7 linked regions of the Oryctolagus cuniculus genome follow. The protein of the gene in region 1 interacts with the protein of each later gene in a biochemical or structural test. Links are inferred from orthologs where the notes say so. Each region holds a gene or a part of one and is shown in the gene's direction. Other genes may lie near its edges.

Region 1 (2,816 bases):
TGCACCGGGCGGGCCGGGAAAGACGGGCCGGGAGGGGACCGGGAAGAGAGGGGCTAGAGGCGCGCGGAGGGGGAGGGGGAGAGGAGGAGAAAGAAGGGCCCAACTGTAGGAGGGCAGCGGAGCATTACCTCATCCCGTGAGCCTCCGCGGGCCCGAAGAAGAATCTTCTAGGGTGGGGTCTCCATGGCGACGGGCGGGCCCGCCCCCCAGAGAGCGACGCGAGCCAATGGGAAGGCCTTGGGGTGACATCATGGGCTATTTTTAGGGGTTGACTGGTAGCAGATAAGTGTTGCGCTCGGGCTGGATAAGGGCTCAGAGTTGCACTGAGTGTGGCTGAAGCGGCGAGGCGGGAGTGGAGGTGCGCGGATTGAGGGAGACAGACACACAGACACAGTCCGCCCGCCCCGCCAGGACGCCCGTAGAGTGCGATCCGCACGGCTGCGTTGCTTTGCCAACTGCCCCGCGCTAGCGCCTGTGGATCCCGGGCTGGTGTTTGGGGGGAGCACCTGGAGAGCTGCTGCTTCTCCAGCCGCCCCCGGGGAGGAGAGCCCCACCGCACGAGCGCAGCTGACAGCCGCGGAGAGCGGCGACTGCAGCGGCCAAGAACTTTCCGAGCCGGGAGGACCGGGGACAAGTGGCCCGGAGTCCCGGAGCGAACTTTTGCAAACCTTTCCTGCGCTATTTGGGCTTGCCGCGGCGGCAGCAAAGAAAAGCAAGGCGGCGGAGAGAGGAGCGAAGAGGAGCGACGCGCGCGCGGCTCCGCTCGCCCCGGCCTCTGAACTTGACCGGCGCGAGCCGCTGCCGCCGGGAGCCCCCTGCCCCTCGCAGCGGAAGAGGGCACAGTCTCCGGGAGTCCGGGCGGCCGAGACCCGCCGCCACTGCGGGGCACCGCGCCGCGCCGCCGGGGAGCCTCCGAAGGGCGCGCAGTGAGTGACCGCGACTTTTCAAAGGCGGGCAGGCGCGCGCGAGCGGCCGAGGAGTGCGGGCGAGCGTCTGAACCCCGCCGCTCCCGGGAGCGGGGGCCGGTGAGCGGGGCGCCCAGGGGGAAGACAGCCCGCGGGTGCGCGCGCGCTCCGAAACTTTTCCTTTGCCAGAGGCCCGGGGAGGCGCGGGGTGCTCCCCGCCCGCCAGCGCGCTGTCGCGGCCCCGAAACTTGTGCGCGCAGCCCAAAGTAAGCCCACGTGAAGTGACGGACTGTTCTATGAGTGCAAAGATGGAAACGACCTTCTACGACGATGCCCTCAACGCCTCGTTCCTGCAGACCGAGAGCGGCGCCTACGGCTACAGTAACCCCAAGATCCTGAAACAGAGCATGACCCTGAACCTGGCCGACCCGGTGGGCAGCCTGAAGCCGCACCTCCGCGCCAAGAACTCGGACCTCCTCACCTCTCCCGACGTGGGGCTGCTCAAGCTGGCGTCGCCCGAGCTGGAGCGCCTCATCATCCAGTCCAGCAACGGGCACATCACCACCACGCCGACCCCCACCCAGTTCCTGTGCCCCAAGAACGTGACCGACGAGCAGGAGGGCTTCGCCGAGGGCTTCGTGCGCGCCCTGGCCGAGCTGCACAGCCAGAACACGCTGCCCAGCGTCACGTCCGCGGCGCAGCCGGTCAGCGGGGCGGGCATGGTGGCTCCGGCCGTGGCCTCGGTGGCGGGCGGCGGCGGCGGCAGCGGCGGCTTCAGCGCCGGCCTGCACAGCGAGCCGCCTGTCTACGCCAACCTCAGCAACTTCAACCCGAGCGCGCTGAGCAGCGGCGGCGGGGCGCCCTCCTACGGCGCGGCCGGCCTGGCCTTTCCCGCGCAGCCCCAGCAGCAACAGCCGCCGCCGCCGCCGCAGCCGCCGCACCACCTGCCCCAGCAGATCCCCGTGCAGCACCCGCGGCTGCAGGCGCTCAAGGAGGAGCCGCAGACCGTGCCCGAGATGCCCGGCGAGACGCCGCCCCTGTCCCCCATTGACATGGAGTCCCAGGAGCGGATCAAGGCGGAGAGGAAGCGCATGAGGAACCGCATCGCCGCCTCCAAGTGCCGGAAAAGGAAGCTGGAGAGGATCGCTCGGCTGGAGGAAAAAGTGAAAACCTTGAAAGCGCAGAACTCGGAGCTGGCGTCCACGGCCAACATGCTCAGGGAACAGGTGGCACAGCTGAAACAGAAAGTCATGAACCACGTTAACAGCGGGTGCCAACTCATGCTAACGCAGCAGTTGCAAACGTTCTGAGGACAGACTGTCGAGGGCTGAGGGGCGACGAAGAAAAAGAAAACAAAACCAACAGAGAGACAGTCTTGCGAACTTGACCGGTTGCGACAGCGAGAAAAAAATAAAAAAGACGCGTCCGAGGACTAAGGCCAAGGGTATCCAAGCCGGGCTGGGTTGCGTCCTGACGGCGCCCCCAGTGTGCACGAGTGGGAAGGACTTGGCGCGCGCTCCCCTTGGCGCGGAGCCAGGGAGCGGCCGCCTGCGGGCGGCCCCGCTCGGCGGAAGGGCTGTCCCCGCGCCATCACGACGGTAGACTTTTCTTTAACATTGACCAAGAACTGCATGGACCTAACATTCGATCTCATTCAGTATTAAAGGGGGGGAGGGGCGGGGTGACAAACTGCCATAGAGACTGTAGATCGCTTCTGTAGTACTCCTTAAGAACCCGACCGGGAGGGCTGGGGAGGGGCGGCGGGGGGCGGGGAGGGAGCCGGGGAGGGCCAGGCTGAGCCTGCAGATACACTCTTTCTGGCCTGCCTTCGTTAACCGTGTATGTACAGATATCTATTTTTTAATTTGATGAAAGCTGATTACTGTCAATAAACAGCTTCATGCCTTTGTA
Region 2 (4,102 bases), on another chromosome or scaffold:
CAACCGGGACAGAATCCGGCGCCCCGACCGGGACTAGAACCCGGTGTGCCGGCGCCGCAAGGTGGAGGATTAGCCTACTGAGCCGCGGCGCCGGCCTCATCATCCTGTTTTTAAAAAGAGATGCAATGTCCTTTCAGAATCAAGAATAAGAATTAGGTGTTTTCAAAATTGGGTTCTGCTTCACGGACTAACATTTGAACTCACTTTTGGGTGTAGCACTTTTTTCCCCTTATGTAACACTATTTTTTTTCTCTCCCACAGGGCTTTTAACGCGCCAGACTGACTGGCTAATCTTTATTGATTTCCAGCCGTCTCGAATTAGCAGCTCTGAAGGCTATGAGGGGAGTCTGCCTTCTCACTTCCCTCTGCAGACGGCAAGGAAATGGTTCCGAGGCGGTGGCTGGCCCATCTTCCACCGCGTGGCCTGAGCTTCCTTGGCATCCGTCTGCTTCAAGATTGCAGTTTTTTAATTTTCAGCCTCTCATGTGTCTGTGACTATTGGTTTTAGCGATTCCACCCTGGTGTTTCCAGCTCAGTACGTTCTACGTCTCAAAGCTCATGTCCATCCGGCCTAACATGGGTCTCGGTCTCACAGTGGCAACTCGAGTCTTCCTCAGGTGTCTCAACCCACTCCTCTCTGCCCCTTACTCTGCTTGACATTTCTCCATAGAAAGTACCTCAGCCTGAGAAACCTCTCTCCGGAAGTTATCTTCTACGAGGGCGGATCTAAGGGCAGACCCACTCGGCCTCTCCTGTCTCACACGTTCTCAGTACTCAAATCTCTTCTTCGGTCTGGACCACGTATTCTGGTTCCTAACATAATCTCCACACCTCCTAAGTTGTTCAGAGCGTTTGGGCCCCAGAGGGCCCGAAGCCCACGTGTGCAGCGTCGTTCGTCTTCCCCCGCACTGCCCGAGCTCGCCGCCCGGCCCCAGCCCCGGCCCCTCAGGGTCAGCCCCGTGACGCCCCGTCTCCCCATTCCGCTCTCAGCGTCTCCTCAGCCGCCTCCCGCGCCGACTCACCAGCGAACGCACGTGACCGCGCCCTTCGGCGCCTCCTCCGCAGCCGCCGCCGCCGCCGCCGCCGCCGCCGCAGCGCTCCGCCCTGAGCTCGCCGCTTCCGCCGGCCCGCGCGGCCCCGCCCCCAGCCGCAGGCAGCCAATCCTCGAGCACGCTGCTCGGCCCCGCCCCGGCGCCCTGCTCGGCGCGCGCCCCTCCCTCCGCCCGCGGGCCCGCCCGTCAGTCAGTAAGTGAGACGGGCAGTCGAGGCGAGCGGACGTCGGCTCTCCGCTTCCCCGAAAGCGGCGCCGTCCTGCCTCTTTGGCGGTCAGCTGCGGCGGCTGCACGGACGGCGGCGCGGTCCCTTGGGGAAGCGCGGCGGGAGCGGAGCGGCGGCCGCGGAGCGTCGAGCCCAGCGCGGCGGCGGCGGCCCGGCAGCCAACATGGCGGCGGCGGCGGCGGCGGGCACGGGCCCGGAGATGGTCCGCGGGCAGGTGTTCGACGTGGGGCCGCGCTACACCAACCTCTCGTACATCGGCGAGGGCGCCTACGGCATGGTGTGGTGAGTGTCGGCGCCCGCCCCGCAGGCCTGGCCCGCTCCCCCGCCCGGGGCTGCAGCGGATGCGCCGCGGCCTCGCCCGCGTCTCGGCCTCCCGCGCAGCGGTCGACCCCAGTCCCGGGCTCCCTCGGGCAGGGCCCCGGCTCGAGGTTTAAGATGTCGCTGCTCGTGGCCGGTGGCCGGTCCCGGGCCGGGCCCTCGCTCGCCGCAGGGGGGCGGAGGCCGGGACCCGCGGACGCCCTGCACCGGATAGCCGCTGGGTTTCCAGCCCGGCTCCTCCACCCCACCCCCCAAGATTTCAGAAATGTAGATTGCAAGCCCAGATTCCCGATCCCCAGCCCAGGAGGGGAACGGAAGCATCCGTCGCGCCCCGGGGTGCTCGCGAAGCCGGGAATGCCGTCAGATGCATGGCCCTGGGCTTGGACGCGGTTGGACCCTGCGTGTGTGCGGAACGGCGGCCGGCTGTGCGTGAAGTGTCTGTCCCTCAGCGGTCGTTAGCTGGTGCTCGCCTGAGCAGGCCTTCCGAAAAAGCACCCAGGTCGGCAGTGTGGCTTGTATGAAGAATTCGTCTTGCAGTTTTTTTTTTTTTTTTAATGTTTAAACGGGCATGCATGTGTTACCGTGCGTTTCAGGAATAAGCAGCCGGCATCCCTCTTGGTTTATTAAATCTGCTTGCAGTTGGGCCCAATTTGCTCTTTTTTTTTTTTTTTTTTTCCTCTCCCTCTCTTCCCTCCTCTCAGGTGAGCTCCTAACCAGTATAGATGCATCCTGTCGTGTTGGCCCGAGGACCGAGGGTTTTGCTGTTGGTATTTTAGCGGTCAGTGTATACATTCCGCCTTTCGGGGACTTTTTTTGCACAGTCACACGCAAGGCTCCCTCGGAAGAGGCGCTTCGTGCAGAAGTAGATTCTCCTGCTTCTCAGTCTCATGAGTGTGTCTTTTCCTGATGAATGAAGTAACTGAGCACTAATTTGTGGACTGCTTCGTGCCCCTTACTGTGTGCCACATCCGTATTTTATTTGAACAGCCCCCCCACCCCACCCCAAAGGAAAAGCTGGTAATATCCCTCTGTTAGGTGCCAATTTTCTAAGGTCATAGAAGAAAGTGTCAGTCTTGAGATTGAAGCCTGAGATCTTTGTGGTACACCCAGCGTCCCTTAAAATAGCATCAGTGATAATTTCGGGATTTTTAGCCTCTTTTACTGCTGTGTGCGAGTCTGTTTAAGAAACGTATGCAAATCTGAGTGATGATGACTTCAGAAATGCCATGGAGCACTTGCTTTACCAATCACCTTGACTAGATAGAAGTAGTTGGAATTATTTTTGAATAATTGAATCCTGCATGTTTTCGTTTGCTTTAGGAGCGAATTGCTCCCCAGTATACAGCTGTGAAAATTAGCATGACTTCCCCCCACCCCCACCCCCACCCCCACCCCCACCCCAGCTAAGAAGTGAAAAGAGAAATTAGGTCAGGCCTGAAAGAAATTAGGCTCTGAAAAAGTACTGGAGGCCGGCGCCACGGCTCACTAGGCTAATCCTCCACCTGCGGTACCGGCACCCCAGGTTCTAGTCCCGGTCGGGGCACCGGATTCTGTCCCAGTTGCCCCTCTTCCAGGTCAACTCTCTGCTGTGGCCCGGGAGTGCAGTGGAGGATGGCCCAAGTGCTTGGGCCCTGCACCCCATGGGAGACCAGGAGAAGCACCTGGCTCCTGCCATCAGATCAGCGCGGTGCGCCGGCCGCGCCGGCCATTGGAGGGTGAACCAACGGCAAAAAGAAGACCTTTCTCTCTGTCTCTCTCTCTCACTGTCCACTCTGCCTGTCAAAAAATTAAAATAATTTAAAAAATAAAGAAAGTACTGCCCCTGGTATCCCTTCTGTGTCACACGTGTTATTGTTGTCATGCCTGCTGGTGAGTACACCAGTGACTATCTCATGAGAGGCTCAGGATTGCCCGTCATGCCCTTTGACACCCCTCCCCCCTTTAATTATATAAAATATGAACTGAAAAAAAATCTTTAGGATATGTCAGTTGAAAGCATTTTTTTCCCTTAGCTGATGAGATTTTTTTCTTTAATCTGAGGGTGATGTCGATTTAGAAGCTGTTTCTGTCACTGCTGTAGACTAATCCAACCTCTGTCTCCAGTTGAAGTGCTAACTTCTCTTGCTGTAATTTTCTCTTTTGAAATAAAACAAATATAATTGACATTTGAATCGTGGGCCCAGATTACAGATTATTGCAAGTTGGTGATACAACCTGCCGTTAATCTATACTGCACATTGTTTGGCTTTTGATAAATACAGTGCTGGGGTTATGGAGGACTTCGTGGTTAAATTTTTTATTTATTTATTTATTTTTTTTTTTGACAGGCAGAGTGGACAGTGAGAGAGAGAGAGAGACAGAGAGAAAGGTCTTCCTTTTTGCCATTGGTTCACCCTCCAATGGCTGCCGTGGCCGGCGCACCACGGCCGGTGCACTGCGCTAATCCGAAGCCAGGTGCCTCTCCTGGTCTCCCGTGGGGTGCAGGGCCCAAGCACTTGGGCCATCC
Region 3 (3,500 bases), on another chromosome or scaffold:
TTTATTCAGCCCATATAATGGAGGTAGAAGAGGATTTGCAAATTAACTTGATTTTATGTTTGCTCAATCTCCTACATACTGTCTTTGCATTATATATTAGTTTTTGTTGAATGTAGTTAATTTTGTCTTTTCAATAAGGTTGCTAATCTTTTATAGTCTAACTCACTCGAATAGCTATGAGTAAAGACTTTACAAACCACAATTAGTAATCTTAGGGTAAGGGTCCTGAAGCTATCATATATCGCATTAAATTAATCAGCTTAATGTTAAAGCATAAAGAATAAAAATGTAGTAGAGAACACTCCTTGTGATATTGATTTAAAAAGAATTTCCAAGGTCTCTGTCATTCATGATACATGACAAGGTAATCTGTCTAAAATCAATAGCTTCCAGCTGGTCCTTCAAAGTATTCAGGGGCAGTGTTTCTTATTTTCGATGCTCTGGTACATGAACTATTAATGAGGCGTAAAAAATAGAATCTCAATCAGTGGGTATGTCTGTCAACATTTACCCTCTAATTTTTGAGGGTGTAATTTTTCACAGAGAGCTGGCATGTTTCATATAGAATTCCTCATAGTTACCATACTCTCTGAATTTGGATGTCTTTGGGTGGAAGTCGCTCTCTTAAATGAAGCACCTCTCTGTCTACCCTCATATGTGATTGGAAACATATTCAGAAGTAAGAACAGTAGGTATGCAATGGTGACTTCCTTGTATGAATAGTATAAATTTCTAAATCTTTGATGAAGAATTAATGAGTTCTTTTACTATAAAAAAAATTTATTGACCCCATGTGTAAGGCATATGAGCAGAACTCATTAACAGATGATAAATTTCTTGGGTTTTGGAGAAGAGAAAATATTCTCAAAAATAATCTAGGAAGACAATAAATGATTATCATTTTTAATAGATGTGTACTTGCCATTTTAAATGTATAAGTGACTGAAGTATCTTCAGGAGATAAAATGTCACTATCATGGGATTATATATTTTTTCTAAATCACATGATTATATTGGTGTTTATCCTTTTGTAAGAGATTCTTCTTGTGTTATTTAAATAACATGTTAGCTTTACCAATCAAAGATTGTTTCATGGTATCCTGTTTTGTTAAATAATATTAGCTCCCTGAAAACTTCTGAGTTCGAAAACAGAATTTGAAATCTAGGGAGGATGCATTGCCCTGACAATTCTGTTTCACAGTTTTGTCTCTTTTTGCTTTATTAAAATCCCAATTGTACTGATGGCTGCCCAGGATTCTGAAGAGTTAGCCTCTTATTATTGGAAAGCATGAGCTAGTGGTCTGCACTTCTGTTTTCCCTTAACTATTCAATTCTCAGATATCGACCAGTGGAACAAAGTCATTGAGCAACTAGGAACGCCGTGTCCAGAATTCATGAAGAAATTGCAGCCTACAGTAAGAAACTATGTGGAGAACCGGCCCAAGTATGCGGGACTCACCTTCCCCAAGCTCTTTCCAGATTCCCTCTTCCCAGCAGACTCCGAGCACAATAAGCTCAAAGGTATGCCGGTCTGGGTGGCAGAGGGCCGCTGTGGGAGTGACCAGCTAAGCAAGCCTGTTGATATGAAGACTTTTCTTCAGCTAGAACTATGCTCACATTAGGGAGAGTCATTTCCTAAAATATCTTCTTACAAAGGGTTGGGTTGTAGCCAAGAACTTTAGAATTGTTGGGATATTCAGAGGGAAAAATAAGAATAAAATATGTCCCAGTGCTGTGTGTTAACTATTTCCTGGTGTATTTAAAATCTTAAATTTAGTATCTCAAGTGTAACTCTATGTGATCAATATATATTGAAATCAATGTTCTTACTTTTTATTATCTGGGAAAGATTTTCAAAATAGTTATTAGTTATGAAACCTTAGAGGCAGATGTCTGATTTTCTTTTGTTGTGTTTTGTATAGTGCTTACCCTCTATTTTTTTCAGTTTAGAGTAGTAATTGAGATTTCAACTGTACATTTTTATTCAATATAAACAGTTTTATTAGTGATTTTTTTCCTACTGTGTCAGCAGTTATCTAATTGGACAACAAATCTTGATCCACACCTTCACACACAAAATGGATCTAAGAATGTTGCAGTTTCATTTGCAGACCAGGAATAAATTTAACAGCAGCTGGAGTATAATACAGAAATATTCTAATTCTTATACTTTAGATACTCCTGAGAATATGATTTTGAAAGAATCATATTTTATTCCCCTGCCTGGTTTAAATTATGCCTTTATTCCTTAAAATATGTGGGACTCTGGGCAAGTTTCCTGACCCTCACTTCTTTTAACAAATGAAGGTATGCAGTTCCTACCATATAGGGTTGTTCACAGGATTGATTGACATAATAGCTTGTCAAACACTTAGAATAATACCTAGATGATGGCAAACGCTCAATCCCTATTAAATATAATATGTAATATAATATTTTAACAATATATCTACAAATTATTAAAAATAAGAGGATATATACTTTGAAATTTAAAAGCAAATGTTCAGTGTGTAATTATCTACAGATTTAACTTACAAATTTAAATAAATAGCTAAGTTAGGCTAAAATAAGACAGAAAAGCTAAAATGTGGTACTACTATTTTCTAGGATCTTTTTGTCTCCTCTAAACTTTTACCTGCTGGGTTTTAAATATGCAACTTTGTTTCTATTTTCTTGTAGCTTAAATTACATAATTGAATTTTCTACTACAGTTGACACTACGGTCTCTTAATGGCAATGAACTAAATTATTACCACATCTGTTTTTTTTTTTTTTTTAAGATAAACTTTTTCCTATATGCAGCTTGAAAAAGACCTAATACTTCAAATAGAGATCTTTTAGAATTTATGGCTTCACAATACTGAGATATTATCCAAAAGTTATCCTTTCTTATAAAAACACTTGCAATAACAATAGGGATTCAAGGCCGGTGCGGCGGCTCAATAGGCTAATCCTCCACCTAGCGGCGCCAGCACACCGGGTTCTAGTCCCGGTCGGGGCGCCGGATTCTGTCCCGGTTGCCCCTCTTCAGGCCAGCTCTCTGCTGTGGCCAGGGAGTGCAGTGGAGGATGGCCCAAGTGCTTGGGCCCTGCACCCCATGGGAGACCAGGAGAAGCACCTGGCTCCTGCCTTCGGATCAGCGCGGTGTGCTGGCCGCAGCGGCCATTGGAGGGTGATCCAACGGCAAAGGAAGACCTTTCTCTCTGTCTCTCTCTCTCACTGTCCACTCTGCCTGTCAAAAAAAAAGAAAAACAAAAAACAATATGGATCCAGCAAACTCCTCATTTAATTATAACATAGTTATGCCAACACTTATAGAAAAACTCTTAACTCAAATATCATGCTTCATAATGTAATTCCAAGTTTCTATAGTTTATTTTCAACTCAGTTTGAACCTCTACAGTTATTTTAGTTTTGTAAACTAGTGTTTTATATACTAAACTATTTTACATTTTTATGATTATTTAGTTTTATTTTTAATATAAAAGTAACAAGTTATA
Region 4 (3,500 bases), on another chromosome or scaffold:
TTTTGTATTCAAGGTATCAGTATTACTTGGCCTTTTGTTATTGAAGTTTTTGATATAGGAAAGATGGCCTAAGATTAGTTAATAGTTTAACATTTCCATTGTTGAATTTGTATTAATCATAGCGAAATTTCTCTGGACCTGTTTTCTTTTTGTACAGTAAAATGAGGAAGTAGACTTAGGTGTTCCCTTATAGATTTTAAAGTTTTCTAATTCTTGAGAGTGGATCGTGTTTTTACTTTTTTACTAAAATTCTCTTGGAATTATAGCCAAATTGTCCAACCTGACTTACTTCTGAATTGACATGAAAATAAGTTTTACTGAAAAAAACGCTGAGGTTTTTAAAAATTAATTGAACATTGCCTGTGAACCTTTACAACTACTTCTAAAATTTCTTTTTAGTTCACTTGAGATACTAATTTGAGAGGTTAAGCATTACCCTATGAATGTGTTTGCAAGTGTGTTATGTTCTGTTCACTAAGGTACATGCATTAATTGCATTTTAAATTCTACGCTTTTTGTTATGTCTTTATTAAATAGGAGGTACCATTGGCACAAACTGCACAGCCCACATCAGCTATTGTTCGTCCAGCATCATTACAGGTTCCCAATGTGCTGCTTACAAGTTCTGATTCAAGTGTAATTATTCAGCAGGCAGTACCTTCACCAACCTCAAGTACTGTAATCACCCAGGCACCATCCTCCAATAGGCCAATTGTGTAAGTGATTAAGCCCAGTCATTGAACTGTGTATGAATTAAGTTTTTCTTGTTACGATTTTTCCTAAGATAGCTGATTTAAGATGATTTTTTATATTTTCATGCTCTTTAAGGCAAAACATATAAAATTATTCTATTACCAGATGACACTTCTTTCAGTTCTTAAATGCAGCTAGTTCTCAGGGCCCACCAGCATTGTGATATAGCAGGTTAAACTGCCACTTAGGATGCCAGCATCCCGTATTACAGTTTGAGTCCCAAATACTCCACTTCCCATCCAGCTTTGTTGCCTAGGAAGGCAACAAAAGATGGCCCAAGTGCTTGGGCCCCTGCCACCCATGTGGGAGTATCTGGATGGCATTCCTGACTCCGGCTTTGGCCTAGCCCAGCCCTGGCTGCTGTGGCCATTTGGAGAGTTAGCCGATGGATAATGGTCTGGGGACTGGCATTGTACCCTCGCAGATAAAGCTGCTGCCTGTAGCACCAGCATCCCATATAGGTGCCAGTTAAAGTTCTGGCTGCTTCACTTCCAGTCTAGCTCCCTGCTAATGGCCTGAGAAAGCAGTGGGAAGATGGCCCAAATCCTTGGACCCCTGCACCCATGTGAGAGACCTGGAGGAAGCTTCTGGCTCCTGGATTTGGTCTTGCCCAGCTATGGCTGTTGTGGCCATCTGGGTGGAGAGTAGGCCAGCAGATGGAAAATCTCTGTCTCTCCCTGACTCTCTGCGTAACTCTTTCAAATAAAATAAATCTTTAAAAAACATATTTAAAGATAATTTTATTTCTGAAGTTTACAGTGCTTAAGAAATTTATTAATATTGTAATAATAGAAGTAAAAATACTATTGTATTTTTAAGTGATGGTTTCTTTGAATCTGTTTAATTTCATTTCTTTTGTTCTTCATAGTCCTGTGCCAGGCCCATTTCCTCTTCTATTGCATCTTCCGAATGGACAAACCATGCCTGTTGCTATTCCTGCATCAATTACAAGTTCTAATGTACATGTTCCAGCTGCAGTCCCAGTAAGTTACAAATTTAGACTATAGTAGATCTGGTCTGTATAAAGTAATCAGAAAATAGAGTTGAAGCTGCTGGACTGACTTATGAAAACTGAATTTAAGAAAGTACATAATAGTGGTAAGTAGTGTTTATTCATTGATATTTATGGTAATAACATCTACCATTCAGTGCAAACATAATTAAATAAACTATTTTCCTCTCCCAACAATCTTGTTTTCCTTACTTTTTACACTATGAACTTTATTCCTTATTTACCCCATTTCTATTTGACTGAATTTGTAAAATTCAAATAGTACTAGAACACTTGTCAGGTAACTTTGGTATTTCAGTTAATTTAGAAATTCTTTATAAAAACACAATCTTTGATCTTTGATGGTCAAGTTCAGTTAACAGATTTACTTTGATGGCCCATGCATTCTTAAGAACATTCTGAACATTTGCGGTACAGACGTTTGCAGTGGTTAAGATGCCAGAATGAATGTATTCAGGCCCCACTCCATTTCTAATAGCTTTCTGTTAATGTTCACTCTGAGAGGCAGCAGATGATGGCTCAAGTACTTGGGTCCCTGTCACCCATGTGGAAGACCCAAATAGAGTACTTAGGCTCCTGGCTTTGGTCTGGCCCAGAGCTGGCTGTTGTGTGCATTTGGTGATGAACCATCAAGATGAAAGATCTGTTTCTGTTTTTCTGTCACTCTGCCTTTAAAATAAATAAAACAAATAAATTTTAGCATTCTAAAGTAATAAGTCTCCCATTTTCTTAATGAGAAGATCCAAAAGAAAAGTTTTGTAAGGGCAAGTCAAATATATATAAAATTTGAAAGACATAGACAATTAAATATCTAGTTATTGTATTTTTTTGTTTTTAGATTTTATTTTTTTATTTGAGAGGTAGAGTTACAGTGAGAAGGAGAGACAGAAAGGTCTTTCTTGTGCCAGTTCACTCCCTAAATGGCATCAATGGCCGGAGCTGCATCGATCCGAAGCCAGGAGCCAGGAGCTTCTTCTGAATCTCCCACATGGGTGCAAGGGCCCAAGGATTTGGACCATCTTCCACTGCTATCCCAGGCCATAGCAGAAAACTGGATTGAAAGAGGAACAGCCGGGACTAGAACCAGCACTCATATGGGATGCCTGTGCTGCAGGCAGAAGATTAACCTACTGTGCCACAGTGCCAACCCCTAGTTATAGTACTTAGTAGATTATAAAATATTTAAAAACACATTGTTTAGGACAGGCATTTGGCTTAGTAGTTAAGGTACCACTTGAGATGCCTACATACAGAATCAGAGTAACTAGGTTCAAGTCCCAGCTCTGCTGCCAATTCCAGCTTCCTGATGATGCACATTCTGGGAGGCAGCAGGTGATGGTTCAACTAGTTGGGTCCCTGCAACCCATATGGGAGCCCAGTGGAGTTCCTGGCTCCTGACTTTAGCCTGGCCCAATCTTGGTTATGGCAGGCATTTGAAGAGTGAACCAGAGGATGACAGATCTCTCTGTCTCCTTCCCTCTCTCTCTGACTTCTGCCTTTCAAATAAATAAATAAATAACATTGGTTAGAATAATAAAAATGAGAAATATGCCTTTTTTCCCAACTTTCACATGTGAATTCATGAAAACAGTTTTATTCAAACTTTTCAAAGGTGTCTTTCAGCATTTCAGATTTTCATCTGAGAACCGCTTTTTGACCCATCTAGCACAGTTTTCCAGAACACAGTTTACTTCTTCATCTAAATTATTTATGACATGACAGCTTTTAATCTTTG
Region 5 (3,500 bases), on another chromosome or scaffold:
GTCCACCCTCACAGGGGACAGGGTGCCCATCATGGGGGAGATGGATTCAGGGAGGAGACCCCTCCCCAGCCCACCCTACCCTGGGCAGAGCCAGCTCAGGCACCTCTCCAGGCCTCCACCCAGCACCAGGCGTCTGCAGGGTGCACTCCTCCTGTGCGTGCCCCACCCCCTCCCCACTGGGGCTGTGGGTGCTGCAGGACCTCTGCTGCTCGCTGCCCTGGGCTCCCCGGGGTCCCCCTGCCTGCTTGGCCGTGTGCCTCCTACAGAGACCCCAGCCGTCCTGGCTTCAGGCTGAGTCTCTCTCTCTCTCCATGTCTCTCTCCCTCTCTCTCTCCATCTCTCTCCATCTCTCCCCCTCCCTCTTCCTCTCTCTCCCTCCCTCTGCCTCTCCCTGTCCCTCTCTATCTCTCTTCCTTTCTCCCCTTTTCCATCTCTGTCTCTCTGTATCTGTCTTTCTCTCTCTCCATCTCTCTCTCTCTCTCTCTCTCTCTCTCTCTCTCTCTCTCTCTCTCCCCTCTCACTCTCAGCACTTGGGGTCTGGGATGAGGCAGGATCTGTGGGGTCTGTGTGGGGATTTTCCACCCAAGTGCTGTGAGGACCCAGAGCTGAGTGACAGTGACAGTGACCGTCACCCGGGACCCTGCCCCTGCAGTCCTGGAGGCGCCTGCGTGGTCTGCACCGCCCACCCTTCCCCACTCCTGCAGCAGCTGGGGGCGCTGGACACATGGGGGGCAGTGTGTCCATGCCCCGGGCTCCCCGGAGACACTCAGGGCAGGGGGGTGCTGTATCCCCAACCCACAGGCAGGATTTCTCCTGAGAGAAGCAGAGGTGGCCCTGAGCCGCCTGAGAAGGGACAGGGAATGGGGATGGGGTGAGCGCTGTGTCCCAGCCCCCAGGGAGCTCCTGGGGACCTCCTGCTGCTTCCCCCTGGCTCCCAGCCCCGCAGGCCGAGAGCCCCCAGGAGAGGAGGGAGGAGGGCTCCAGGCCAGATGCCCCCTCCCTCTGGGGCGTGCAGCAAGGAGGGCGGGGCCCCGGCTCTGCTGAGGGGGGAGCAGGCTGTTCTGGTGGATGATGGACGTCAGTCAGGGAGGGTCTGGCTGCCCCGGGGTCCCTGCACCTCACCAGTGGGGGACGGGGGGCATTAGGCTGCCCCCAGGGTCCCTGCATCTCACCATCGGGGGGCGGGGGGCGTCAGGCTACCCCTGGGGTCCCTGCATCTCACCATCGGGCGGCAGGGGGCGGCAGGCTGCCCCTGGGGTCCCTGTACCTCACCAGCGGGGGGCAGGGGGCGTCAGGCTGCCCCTGGGGTCCCTGTACCTCACCAGTGGGGGGCAGGGGGCGTCAGGCTGCCCCTGGGTCCCTGCACCTCACCAGCGGGGGCAGGGGGTGTCAGGCTGCCCCTGGAGTCCCTGTACCTCACCAGTGGAGGGCAGGGGTCGTCAGGCTGCCCCTGGGGTCCCTGCACCTCACCAGTGGGGGGCAGGGGGCGTCAGGCTGCCCCTGGGGTCCCTGTACCTCACCATTGGGGGGCAGGGGTCGTCAGGCTGCCCCGGGGTCCCTGCACCTCACCAGCGGGGGGCAGGGGGCGTCAGGCTGCCCCTGGGATCCCTGCACCTCACCAGAGAGGGGCTGGGGGACGTCAGGCTGCCCCTGGGGTCCCTGTACCTCACCATTGGGGGGCAGGGGGCGTCAGGCTGCCCCGGGGTCCCTGCACCTCACCAGCGGGGGGCAGGGGGCGTCAGGCTGCCCCTGGGGTCCCTGTACCTCACCATCGGGGGGTGGGGGGCGGGGGGCGTCAGGCTGCCCCTGGGGTCCCTGCACCTCAACAGCGGGGGGTGGGGGGCGGGGGGCGTCAGGCTGCCCCTGGGGTCCCTGCACCTCACCAGCAGGGGGCAGGGGGCGTCAGGCTGCCCCGGGGTCCCTGTACCTCACCATCGGGGGGTGGGGGGCGGGGGGCGTCAGGCTGCCCCTGGGGTCCCTGTACCTCACCAGTGGGGGGCAGGGGTCGTCAGGCTGCCCCTGGGGTCCCTGTACCTCACCATCGGGGGGTGGGGGGCGTCAGGCTGCCCTGGGGTCCCTGTACCTCACCAGTGGGGGGCAGGGGTCGTCAGGCTGCCCCTGGGGTCCCTGTACCTCACCAGTGGGGGGCAGGGGGCATCAGGCTGCCCCGGGGTCCCTGCACCTCACCATCGGGGGGTGGGGGGCGTCAGGCTGCCCTGGGGTCCCTGCACCTCACCGGGGGGCAGGGGGCATCAGGCTGCCCAGGGGTCCCTGCACCTCACTGGGGGGCAGGGGGCGTCAGGCTGCCCCTGGGGTCCCTGCACCTCACCAGCGGGGGGCAGGGGGCGTCAGGCTGCCCCGGGTCCCTGCACCTCACCAGGGGGCGGGGTTGGCGTGTTGGTTCACGTGGAGACTCCCCGCCTATTGAGACGTCAGTGACCCTGGTAGTTTGAAAACACTTTGTTCTTGAGAACAAATGATTTTTGGAGGTTTTTCAGCGGGGAGTGGGGGTAGGGGGAGAGTGAAGATGGGGGAGGGGCCCTGGGGGGCTGGGAAGCACAGGGGAAGCTCCTGGCTCCCGGCTTCGGCCTGCCCAGCCCTGGGCATTGCGGCCATCTGGGAAGTGAACCAGCAGATGGAAGACCTCTCTCTCTCCCTCTACTGCTCTGCCTTTCAGATAAATAAACCCTTAAAAATAAGTTTATTTTATAAAGGAAACATCAATTCCGCGAATTCCTTTTGTACGCATTCTCCGCGTCCTGCAGCTGGAGGCACAGGCCGCCGCAGCTTTACTCTCGTGTGCTGCTCTGGGCCCTGGCACCAGCGCCATGAACGCTGCGTCGGGAAAGCGTGAACCTGCACACCTACTATGACTCAAACTCTGGCACTTTTATCTAGGGGATTTTTTTTTTCATCTGAATGGCAGAGAGACAGGCAGACGGGGGGAGGATCTTCCGTCTGCTTCCAAAAGCCCTTAAACAGCCAGGGCTGCAAACTGCCCGGATACCCCCGTGGGGGGCAGGGACCCGATGACCTGAGCCTGCCCCTGCGACCTCCAAGGGTGCGCCTCAGCAGGAAGCTGGATGGGAGCGGAGTTGGGACTGGGACTCGGGCACTCGGATATGGGATGTAGGGGGTGAGGTGGGTCCCAACAGGTGCGCCAAACGCCAGTGGGGTCTGGCAGTTTGGGAAGAAGCCGGCGAGCCCTAACCCAGACGGTTCTCCCGCAGCATCTACTGCCGGGGCTGCCACAAGCCCCTGTGCTGCTCGTGTGCGCTCCTGGACAGCGGCCACAGCGACCTCAAGTGCGACCTGAGCGCCGAGGTGCTGCAGCGCCAGGACGAGCTGGACGCCACGGCGCGCGCGCTGCGGGAGCGCGGCGGCGCCTTCGGGGCTGCGCTCGCGCAGGTGCGCGCGGCCATCGGGCAGCTGGGCCGCGCGCGCGCCGACGCCGAGGACCTGATCCGCGAGCGCGTGCGCCAGGTGGTGGCACACGTGCA
Region 6 (4,241 bases), on another chromosome or scaffold:
CAGCTCTCCAAAGCTCTAAGCCAAAAGCAAAAGTGATTCCCGGCAGCGAGGCACTGCTAAGTTCTGCCCTTGCAAAACAGTCAAAAAATCCTTCCCCAGTCTCCCGGAGCATGGTTCCCTTCCCCCGCCCCAGCAACCAGCCTCCCTTTTCACCGAAGTCTCAAGCTGCGAGTCTCCCTCATTCATTCGTCAAACATTGGCTCGGTCTGACCACACGTTATCCGGCGCCGGGTCTCACCCCGCGCTCCAGGAAGGGTGGGGCGCCCGCTCGCTGGAGCAGGTGCAACGAAGCGGGCTGTGCAGGACTTCTCGACCAGGCCGGCTTTTTTCGAGGGCTTGTTCAGGGCCAGATGCCTCACCTTCGGCAGGTGCGCGCGGGAGTCTGGCCCCCGGGCCTGGGCCTTCCCCCGGTTCCCAAAGGAGCAGTCCCCACCTGCCCCGAAGGAACCCGCTAGAGAGCGAGCTCTCCCCGCCGCCCTCGGGTCAGGGGTAAGCTCAGGCGGCAGCTCAGGCTCCGCTCGGCTCCTCCCCTTCCTCTCTTCAGTTCTGACGCGGCCGTAGAGGCGGCCGCGGTGGTGGCGGCGGCGGCAGCAGCGAGTACCGCGGCCCGAGGCGCACCCACCCGCTCCCGGCTCCCCGACTTCCTCTTCCCTTCGAGCGTCATCAGAGCGCGCCGGAGTCGCCCAGGGCGGGGTGGCTAGAAAGGGAAGAAAAAAAAAAAAAGGCCAGCGAGGAAGCCTCAGAGCGGAAAGGAAAGGGAGGGGGAGAGGAGAGCGGTTGCTAGGTGACTTGCGTCATCGGTCGGCGCCGCTCTCCTCCCGCCCCTCTCTCTGGAGTGAGGCGAGAGCCCCGCACAGAGCGAGGGAGACAGCGAGCAGAGCTCCGGCGCTACTGCGATCGCCGCCGAGAGAGTGAGAGCGAGGGAGCATCGGAGGACCCAGCCCCCGTGCCGTGGCCGCCGCCGAGAACCTCGGCCCCAACCTGGGCCAGCGAGAGCCGCGGCCGCCCTCCTCTCCCCCCCTCACCTTCCCGGCCGGCGGCGGCGGCTGCACACGCCGGAGCCGGAGCCGGAGCCCGAGCCGGAGCCGGCGGCTGGGGGGCAGGGAGACGGCTCCCGCGGCGGGCCGGGACTTGGGAGCTGCTCCGCCGTGAGAGGACCTTGAGCCGGGGGCCGGAGCTTTTGCCTCGTCCCGGGGCGAGGGGCGAGGGACCCCCGAGGTGTAGGGAGGGGGGTCCCAGCCGCAGCGACACATGCGGGAACCGGGAGCGGGGGCGGCGCCGAGCGGAGCCGGCCGGGTCCCCAGCCTCGCGGCCGTCTCGGCCACCCGCACGGGGCCGTAGCATCTTGCCCCGGAGTGTATGAGCCGGGAGGGCCCCGAGCTCAGCCACCACCCCCCGGCCGGGGGGGCGGGGACCCCAATGTGAAGCGGCGGCTGGGGCGGCGGGCAGAGCAGGACCGGCGCCGCCGTCCTCTCCTCACCCACCCCTTCCCCTTCGCCCCCTCCGGGGGGAGGGGGTCTTTTCCTTCGGCCTGTCGCCGGCCCCCCGGCTCCTCGGCCCGGACTCCGGGAGGAGTTCTTAGAGCCCCCTCCCCCGCCCCAGCCCCCAGGGCGGCGGGGCCGGGGGGGATCCGGGGGGCCGGCCGCAGCCTCCACCCAGAGGAAACTTTTATAAGAACAAATTCTGGAGCCTCCCAGACGTGACTGTCCCGGGACCAGTGGCCCTGGACGGGCAGAAATCACAGCCTGAAGAGACCCAGGAAGAGGAAAAGAGGTGATCGGGGCCGCCGCCTCCTCTCCCCCCACCCCGGCGGCGCGGAAGAGACCCGGGTGGCCGCCTGCTTGGGCGACACGAGCAGCGATCGCTTCTTCCTCTGTAGCGAGCGCGCCGGAGCCTGCCGCAGTCCGGAGCAGGAAGGGAACCAGCCCGCTCTCTCAGCGCCACGGCTCTTCTCTAAAGTGTGAGTGGTCCTTCCGGAGAGGGGCCGAGGGGGGGGCCGGGGGCGGGAGGATGCCGCAGAGGTTTGTGCAGATGTTTTCCAGCGGCGCGGGGAGTGTGTGTGCGCCCCTTCTTCGCACAGGACGGCTCTGGGGTTTGTTGCCGTTGAGCTTGGACGAGCAATGCCAAGCGTGCAGGTTTCTCCAAGGAGGAGTTAGTTGTGTTCTCTTCCGGAGTGGGAAAGATTGCACCTCTCCGGGCAGGAGTTGGCAGAAGGGAAGTCGAGGAAGGCAGAGCAGGCGTGCACACAAAGGACATCGCTGTGCTCGCCCTTTTCCTGGTGGCAGGGACTGTGGGATGGCGCCGGAGGAGTTTTGTGTAGGGGAGGACCTCTCCCGTGGGTTCCCCCGTGCACCTCTGAAAGTCCAGTTCCTTGATTTGTTCGCAGGCTACCTCGAGGGGAAGCCCGGGTTTCATTTCCATACCTCTCAGTACAGAAGTTTTTAACCTTCTCTTTTCCTGCGTCCAGTTCCTCTGCATGTCAGGAGGACACTTTAACAGATCGCAGTTACTGGGGAAATTCTGGCTTCTTAGGAATCACAGCTTATTTGAGGCAGAGCATTTACTGCATAAACCATTTTATATAGGTTGTTACTCTTCCACCCAAATCCCACATGTGCCCTCTGTCTCTCTCTCTCTCTCTTTTTTGAGTAACAGGTTATAAATGACAGCACTGTTTTATTGGGAGAATGGGTTGAGACTTTGTTGTTTGATTTAGCTTTACTTTAACGATTTAGGAGGAACCTATGAAGCCATAATTCTTACAAGAATGGCTTTTCCTTGCATTATTTTAAAGTTGAAGTCTCTCAAATCTTTGACTCGATTTCAAATGTCCCCTCAGCGTGCCAAGTTAGAGGTACACAGAAGTAGTTAGCATTTCATGTATACAGACCTGGAGGGTTAGGCATCAGGGGGGAATTTTAGGTAACTAGACCCAGACAGTTCTATAGTGAGAGTTATGGTGCCTCCAGACCAGTAGCTGTGGATGGCCTTTCTGAAGTCATTGCTGAGAGATGCTTTGTGGGAATGAATGTATGCCCGGGGTTATCCACCCTAAATTCTCCACTCAGGATCCCGATGAAATTTTTAAAAAAACCTTTTCAGACTTAATGTTTTGACTCTGTACCACTTCTTTTTTAAAGTAATAAGTTCTGCAGATTTATTAGCCTCTGTCTGATGTAAGAATTCATGCATGTATCCCAAACTTACCTCCTTAGGCTAAAAGATGCATCACTTAAGAGCTTGCGTTTTGAGAAATACTAGAATAACCCCAGGTTTCTTGCCTGGTTATTCTTGTTTGCCATCATTTCCCCCCAGCTTTCTGTCTGAGAACTGTTTCTTCCATTTCTTTGACCACTGCCCTTCTCTGGACCTTCTCCAAGCATTTGTTTTTCTGTAGGTGCCTTGTTCTCATTACGCTTTTGTAAGGAACCTTGAAGTCTGTTCTAAGTGGGTACCGACATAAAACGTTGCATAGTGGATTGAATATTAGATTTAGAAGCAGCCAGGTATCTCTGGATGTGTCATCTTTTGTGACTTCGAGTAAGTCACCTTTTCTGTTTCTCACAGATGGACCAGAGAAAAAGCTGGTCTTACATAGACAGCTTTTTGGGAAGGAGAGAGGACAAACCAACAAAGCAAAGTTTGTGGATAATGCCGAGTTTAGGACCTATTTTGATTGCTTTCACTATAGATAAGTTAAGAATGATGGTAATATTTTAATATGTATTTGGGTAGAAATGAGGAAGTATTGGGGGTCTCTGCCTTTGAAGCACTTTTACTTAGGGGTGGAAGAGACAGTTATACAAATGGAACAAGACTACAGGAGAACAGGCCGGTATTAATCTGAGACCACCACGTGTGCCATTGCATTATCCAGTTCTTGCTAACAAGCAGGCTGCTTTTTAAAGGAGAGACTTATTTTGGCTCACAGCTCTGGAGGTGCTAGGTCTGGGGGCTCCTCTGATGGTGGCTTTCTTGTTGGCAGAGCATGCTGCTGCCAGAGGCGGCAGTGAGCACAGCTGTTTGTATTTCACTCCCAGGGTTTACCCTCTGTAGCATAGTTGAATCAAGTTCCCACCCTCTTAGTATTGCTGCCATATGATTTTGGGGGTTAAACTTCTACATGAAATCTCCCCTCCCACCTTGGGGGTGGGAATGGGGTGCTGGTGGTGTTTGATACCTGATAGGAAGTGAATGTAATTTTTTTTTGTTAGGGAAATGTTGGTTTCAGAGCAACTTGG
Region 7 (3,972 bases), on another chromosome or scaffold:
TAAGGTGGTGGCTCCACTAAGTTCTTTGCTGACTTTGTGCCTTTGCACTTCCTGCTTGGCTTCTTCATTGACAGAACCTAACGGAGAAGTGGAGTGCAAGCCTTCTGCCTTCCTTTTGCTCTGTGATTTTGGTCAAATTAATTAACTTCTCCAAGCCTGCGTCTCCCTTCACAACGTGAAAGGCTAACACCAGGCGGTATACCTTAGAAAGTTCGTGGAAAAACGGAATTAACAGCCAAGTTTATTTGGGCGTGAACACTTTTGAAACCCATGCCTAGTTTTTGAGAATGTGTATTTTCGACGAACTTTTTGAAGATCCCCAATACGCACGGATTTCAAAACGTTTTTGGCACACGAATAAATCCCTCTTTTAATGTCATTTTCATGAACTTTCTTAAGTGCACTTGTACCCTTTCCCCGCCCTCCTTTTAAAGGGCCATTTCGGAGGATTCCAGATAATTACAGAAGGTGCTCCACACAGTCTGTGGTACACAGCAAGCGCTCCTTAAATAATGGGTTGGCCTAGGAAACTTCTATTCAATTGCCACTGCCCCTCCAAAAACCTCCCTTTGACGTCTGGATGGTGCCGCCTCTTTTTACATCACCATTAAGACCTTCTATAAGCTAGGGTCTGTTCATGGCCACAGCCGCGGCCTCTCCACCCAGCGATCCCCCCAAAAAGGGCAGCTATTGTCTTGCACTGCCCAAGCGCCAGAAGCCAGCAGAGTTCCACACCTACGCGGTGCTCCCCATTTGTTGTTGTTTGGCCAAAGATGCGAGGCTAAACCGAGCGGGCGGGAGGAGAGAGGCGGGGAGGGACGGCGCCGCCCACGGAGGAGGAGGAGGAGGAGGGTGAGGGTGAGGAGAGGGAGAGGGAGAGGGGCGTGCCCGCCCAGGGTGCCCTCGCCCAGCGCTCCCCGCCCAGACCCAGAGATAGCGACGCGGCCCCCGTGTCACCCACCGGGTTCTTTGTAAAGCCGCGACACCGGCCCACCGGGGGGCAGTTTCGGAGAAAACCACGTTCGGGCAGCACCCAGGGCTCCCAGCGGGGTGCCTGGACCCGCGCCGGCCTTCCCGCGCGACCTCGCGCCCCGGCCCGCGCACCGCCTGGCGCCCCGGTTCCCCCCAGACGCCGGCGGGCCCGAGAGCCTCGCGGACGTGACGCCGCGGGCGGAAGTGACGTTTTCCCGCGGTTGGACGCGGCGCTCGGTTGCCGGGCGGGGGAGGGCGCGTCCGGTTTTTCTCAGGGGACGTTCAAATTATTTTTGTAACGGGAGTCGGGAGGGGACGGGGCGTGCCCCGAGGTGCGCGCGCGCCGTCAGTTTTCGGCGCTCCTCCTCAGCTCGCTGCTCCTGCCTTGAGAAGGCGTCATGCCGCCCAAAACCCCGAGAAGAGCAGCTGCCGCCGCCGCCGCCGCGGTGGAACCCCCGGCGCCGCCGCCGCCGCCGCCTCCTGAGGAGGACGCGGAACAGGACAGTGGTCCTGAGGACTTGCCTCTGGCCAGGTGAGCGGGCACCGCCGCCGCTGCGGCCGGCACGCGAGGAGGGAGTCCCGGGGGTGCGGCGGGCGGGCGGGCGGGAGCCGCGGCGGCTGGGCGCGGGCGCATCCTCGCCGGGGTCGGTCCCGGCGGCGGGATGGTCCGAGGGTCCCTCCCTGCCTCCTCCACGGCAGCGGAGCGTCTGCGGGGCGGTGACAGAGATCCGGGATCGTGAGCGACGGGGAGAGGGCTGCTGGAGGGGTCTCGGCTCCAGCTTGACAGGTGTCGGGCGGGTGGGGCTCGGGTCCCTGAGCGAAGTGACAGGTGCAGTCTCCTCTAGCGAGACAGCGGCTCGCAGCCGACGGCTGATTACCAGCCCTCATGCAGCGAAAAAAAAATTCTTTTTTAAAGTACAAAAATGGTACGTGTGTTGGCGAGTTTTTCTCCAGTGGAGATCTGGAGTCCTCGGTGGTCGCCTGACTTTCTGTTTCGATCCCCTGCGACGCAACAGTTGGAAGTTGTTTTTTTTGTTTTTTTTTTTTTTTTTTCTTCTTTCCTCTGGGCGTGCGCTACCTCCGAAGCTCAGAACTGGGAGAGGCCCGGGAAGGCCTTGGACGTGAAGGGCAGGGTGTTAGGTGTGAATTGCCCACGGGCTACACGGCCGCGAGGCGTTGTGGGGTTCCCTAAAACAATGTGTGGAGGCCTCGAGGATTTAAAGCCGGCTGTAGACACTGGTGGAGCCTAACTTTCTTTACACGAACTGGCCTCTGGGCTAAAGTTTCGTTGAGACATTTAGTGAAGCGCTTGAAAGTTACCAAACTTTCCATTTTCTTTTTCTTCTTCTTCTTCTTTTTTTTTTTCTTCTGATGGAAGAACTCGCTTGCGTGTTTGCGAGGCCTCCGCATGCCTCGTTATTACATTTTGCCTTTCACTTTGAGCCAGCAGGGATGCTTGGTGTCCCCTCTTTTTGGTTTTGTTTGGGTTTGGTATGAAATTAATGGTGTTCTTCTGCTCACCTGGAACTCCGCTGTCACCCCTTCACCCCTTAGCGAGTGGAATCTCTACGTTTAAGCAAGTCCTCATGGACGCAGTGCTACGTGACAGAAAGATGCTTATTGTATTGCAACATCTTGATCGTGAGGCTTTACAGTGAAGTTGCTAGTACAGAACGGGCAGAGTTAGGATTATTGTCAGTGCTTGTTCTAGCCATTGCCCGGGAATGCCGCTGGTTTTCCAGTGGCACTCCCTCCCCAGCTCTAGTCTATCACCAAGTCTTGTTTTTGTGCCCCCTGAATAGTATCTTTCCTTCCACTCCATGGAATCTTAGCTGAATTCAGACAGAATTGTAAAACATCGAAATAGAATTTTGGAAATGGACTCTGGAAAGCTATTAAAAATTAACATATTTAAATGGACTATCTTACAACGTGTCAGTTCAAAATAATACTCACTAGTGAAAACAAAAACAAAGCCAGGTCTGAGGGATATGCTGGGAGAAGATATCACTTTAGTTTTTGATTAAATGCCATTGTACTTGTCCATGAAAAGAGCAGTAATGTATGCCTGTTCTAAAGAAGCACTTTCAATTATTGTATGGTAACAAGAAATGAAGTTCTGGCCGTCCCCTGGGAGAAGAAGGCTTTTGTTTCTTTCATTTTTCATCCAGCACAGTATACAGGCAGACCTCGGAGAAATGGCAGATTCCATGCCAGACCACTGCAATAAAGTGAATATCGCAATAAAGCGAGTAACACGAAGTTTTTGGTTTCTTTATGCATTTAAACTTATTTTTGTACTATACTATAGTCTCTCAAGTGTGCATTAGCACTGTGTCTCAAAGCACAATGTACATTCGTTAATTTAAAAATATTTTATTACGAAAAATTGCTAGCAACCACCCAAGCTGTTGAAAAAATGATGCTGATAGACTTGCTATGTGCAAGGTTCCCAAAACCTTCTATTAAAAAAAAAATGCAGTATCTGTAATGTGCAGTAAAGCAAAATACAAGAAAATGAAATATGCTTGTATTCTTAAATGATGGAATTATAAAAAATTTTCCTACAAGTCAAGGATATACAAGATATCATTTTGTTCTTGATTATTCATACCCATAAAGATTTTCATTAACATAGACCCCCTAACTATAGATTCACTACAGCCATGTACCACTTAACAGAAGGGTCGTGTTCTGAGAAATGCACTGTTAGATGATGTCGTCATTGTGTGAATATCATAGAATGTACTTAACATAAACCTTGATTATCTTGCTCAATCACCCCAAATGGCCTCTTGATGCATCAAGATGTGATAAATGTAAAATATATGTGACTGTTGCAAGTGTAACACAATATACTGTTTTATAGTAAACTTTTGTTTTTATAAGTAGAAGGAATATCTAAAATAACAACACAAAAGCATAGTCTAGTAAATCCCTAAACCAGTAGTATAGTCTTTTATAATTATTAAATATTCTTTTATATAAATACCTATGAAT

What was found.
Region 2: of the proteins of JUN (region 1) and MAPK1, one has a biochemical effect on the other in vitro, tested with the Homo sapiens proteins (2 studies listed by BioGRID, with this or other methods). The link is inferred for Oryctolagus cuniculus from reciprocal best matches to the Homo sapiens genes JUN and MAPK1.
Region 3: of the proteins of JUN (region 1) and MAPK10, one has a biochemical effect on the other in vitro, tested with the Homo sapiens proteins (7 studies listed by BioGRID and IntAct, with this or other methods). The link is inferred for Oryctolagus cuniculus from reciprocal best matches to the Homo sapiens genes JUN and MAPK10.
Region 4: the proteins of JUN (region 1) and ATF2 form a complex in vitro, tested with the Homo sapiens proteins (4 studies listed by BioGRID and IntAct, with this or other methods). The link is inferred for Oryctolagus cuniculus from reciprocal best matches to the Homo sapiens genes JUN and ATF2.
Region 5: the proteins of JUN (region 1) and PML form a complex in vitro, tested with the Homo sapiens proteins (2 studies listed by BioGRID). The link is inferred for Oryctolagus cuniculus from reciprocal best matches to the Homo sapiens genes JUN and PML.
Region 6: the proteins of JUN (region 1) and FBXW7 form a complex in vitro, tested with the Homo sapiens proteins (3 studies listed by BioGRID, with this or other methods). The link is inferred for Oryctolagus cuniculus from reciprocal best matches to the Homo sapiens genes JUN and FBXW7.
Region 7: the proteins of JUN (region 1) and RB1 form a complex in vitro, tested with the Homo sapiens proteins (2 studies listed by BioGRID). The link is inferred for Oryctolagus cuniculus from reciprocal best matches to the Homo sapiens genes JUN and RB1.

Annotation. Positions count from the first base shown.
Region 1 is NC_091438.1:114,258,805-114,261,620, forward strand, and holds JUN (transcription factor Jun), read left to right. Parts: upstream 1-1,201; coding exon 1,202-2,215; 3' UTR 2,216-2,316; downstream 2,317-2,816. UniProt on the Homo sapiens protein: Transcription factor that recognizes and binds to the AP-1 consensus motif 5'-TGA[GC]TCA-3'.
Region 2 is NC_091452.1:28,976,450-28,980,551, forward strand, and holds the start of MAPK1 (mitogen-activated protein kinase 1), read left to right. Parts: upstream 1-1,302; 5' UTR 1,303-1,441; coding exon 1,442-1,560; intron 1,561-4,102. UniProt on the Homo sapiens protein: Serine/threonine kinase which acts as an essential component of the MAP kinase signal transduction pathway. MAPK1/ERK2 and MAPK3/ERK1 are the 2 MAPKs which play an important role in the MAPK/ERK cascade.
Region 3 is NC_091439.1:81,338,318-81,341,817, reverse strand, and holds part of MAPK10 (mitogen-activated protein kinase 10), read left to right. Parts: intron 1-1,338; coding exon 1,339-1,521; intron 1,522-3,500. UniProt on the Homo sapiens protein: Serine/threonine-protein kinase involved in various processes such as neuronal proliferation, differentiation, migration and programmed cell death.
Region 4 is NC_091434.1:66,033,607-66,037,106, forward strand, and holds part of ATF2 (cyclic AMP-dependent transcription factor ATF-2), read left to right. Parts: intron 1-537; coding exon 538-716; intron 717-1,621; coding exon 1,622-1,736; intron 1,737-3,500. UniProt on the Homo sapiens protein: Transcriptional activator which regulates the transcription of various genes, including those involved in anti-apoptosis, cell growth, and DNA damage response.
Region 5 is NC_091443.1:109,465,573-109,469,072, reverse strand, and holds part of PML (protein PML), read left to right. Parts: intron 1-3,230; coding exon 3,231-3,500.
Region 6 is NC_091439.1:11,998,755-12,002,995, forward strand, and holds the start of FBXW7 (F-box/WD repeat-containing protein 7), read left to right. Parts: upstream 1-1,441; 5' UTR 1,442-1,960; intron 1,961-4,241. UniProt on the Homo sapiens protein: Substrate recognition component of a SCF (SKP1-CUL1-F-box protein) E3 ubiquitin-protein ligase complex which mediates the ubiquitination and subsequent proteasomal degradation of target proteins.
Region 7 is NC_091440.1:67,325,201-67,329,172, forward strand, and holds the start of RB1 (retinoblastoma-associated protein), read left to right. Parts: upstream 1-1,172; 5' UTR 1,173-1,370; coding exon 1,371-1,504; intron 1,505-3,972. UniProt on the Homo sapiens protein: Tumor suppressor that is a key regulator of the G1/S transition of the cell cycle. The hypophosphorylated form binds transcription regulators of the E2F family, preventing transcription of E2F-responsive genes.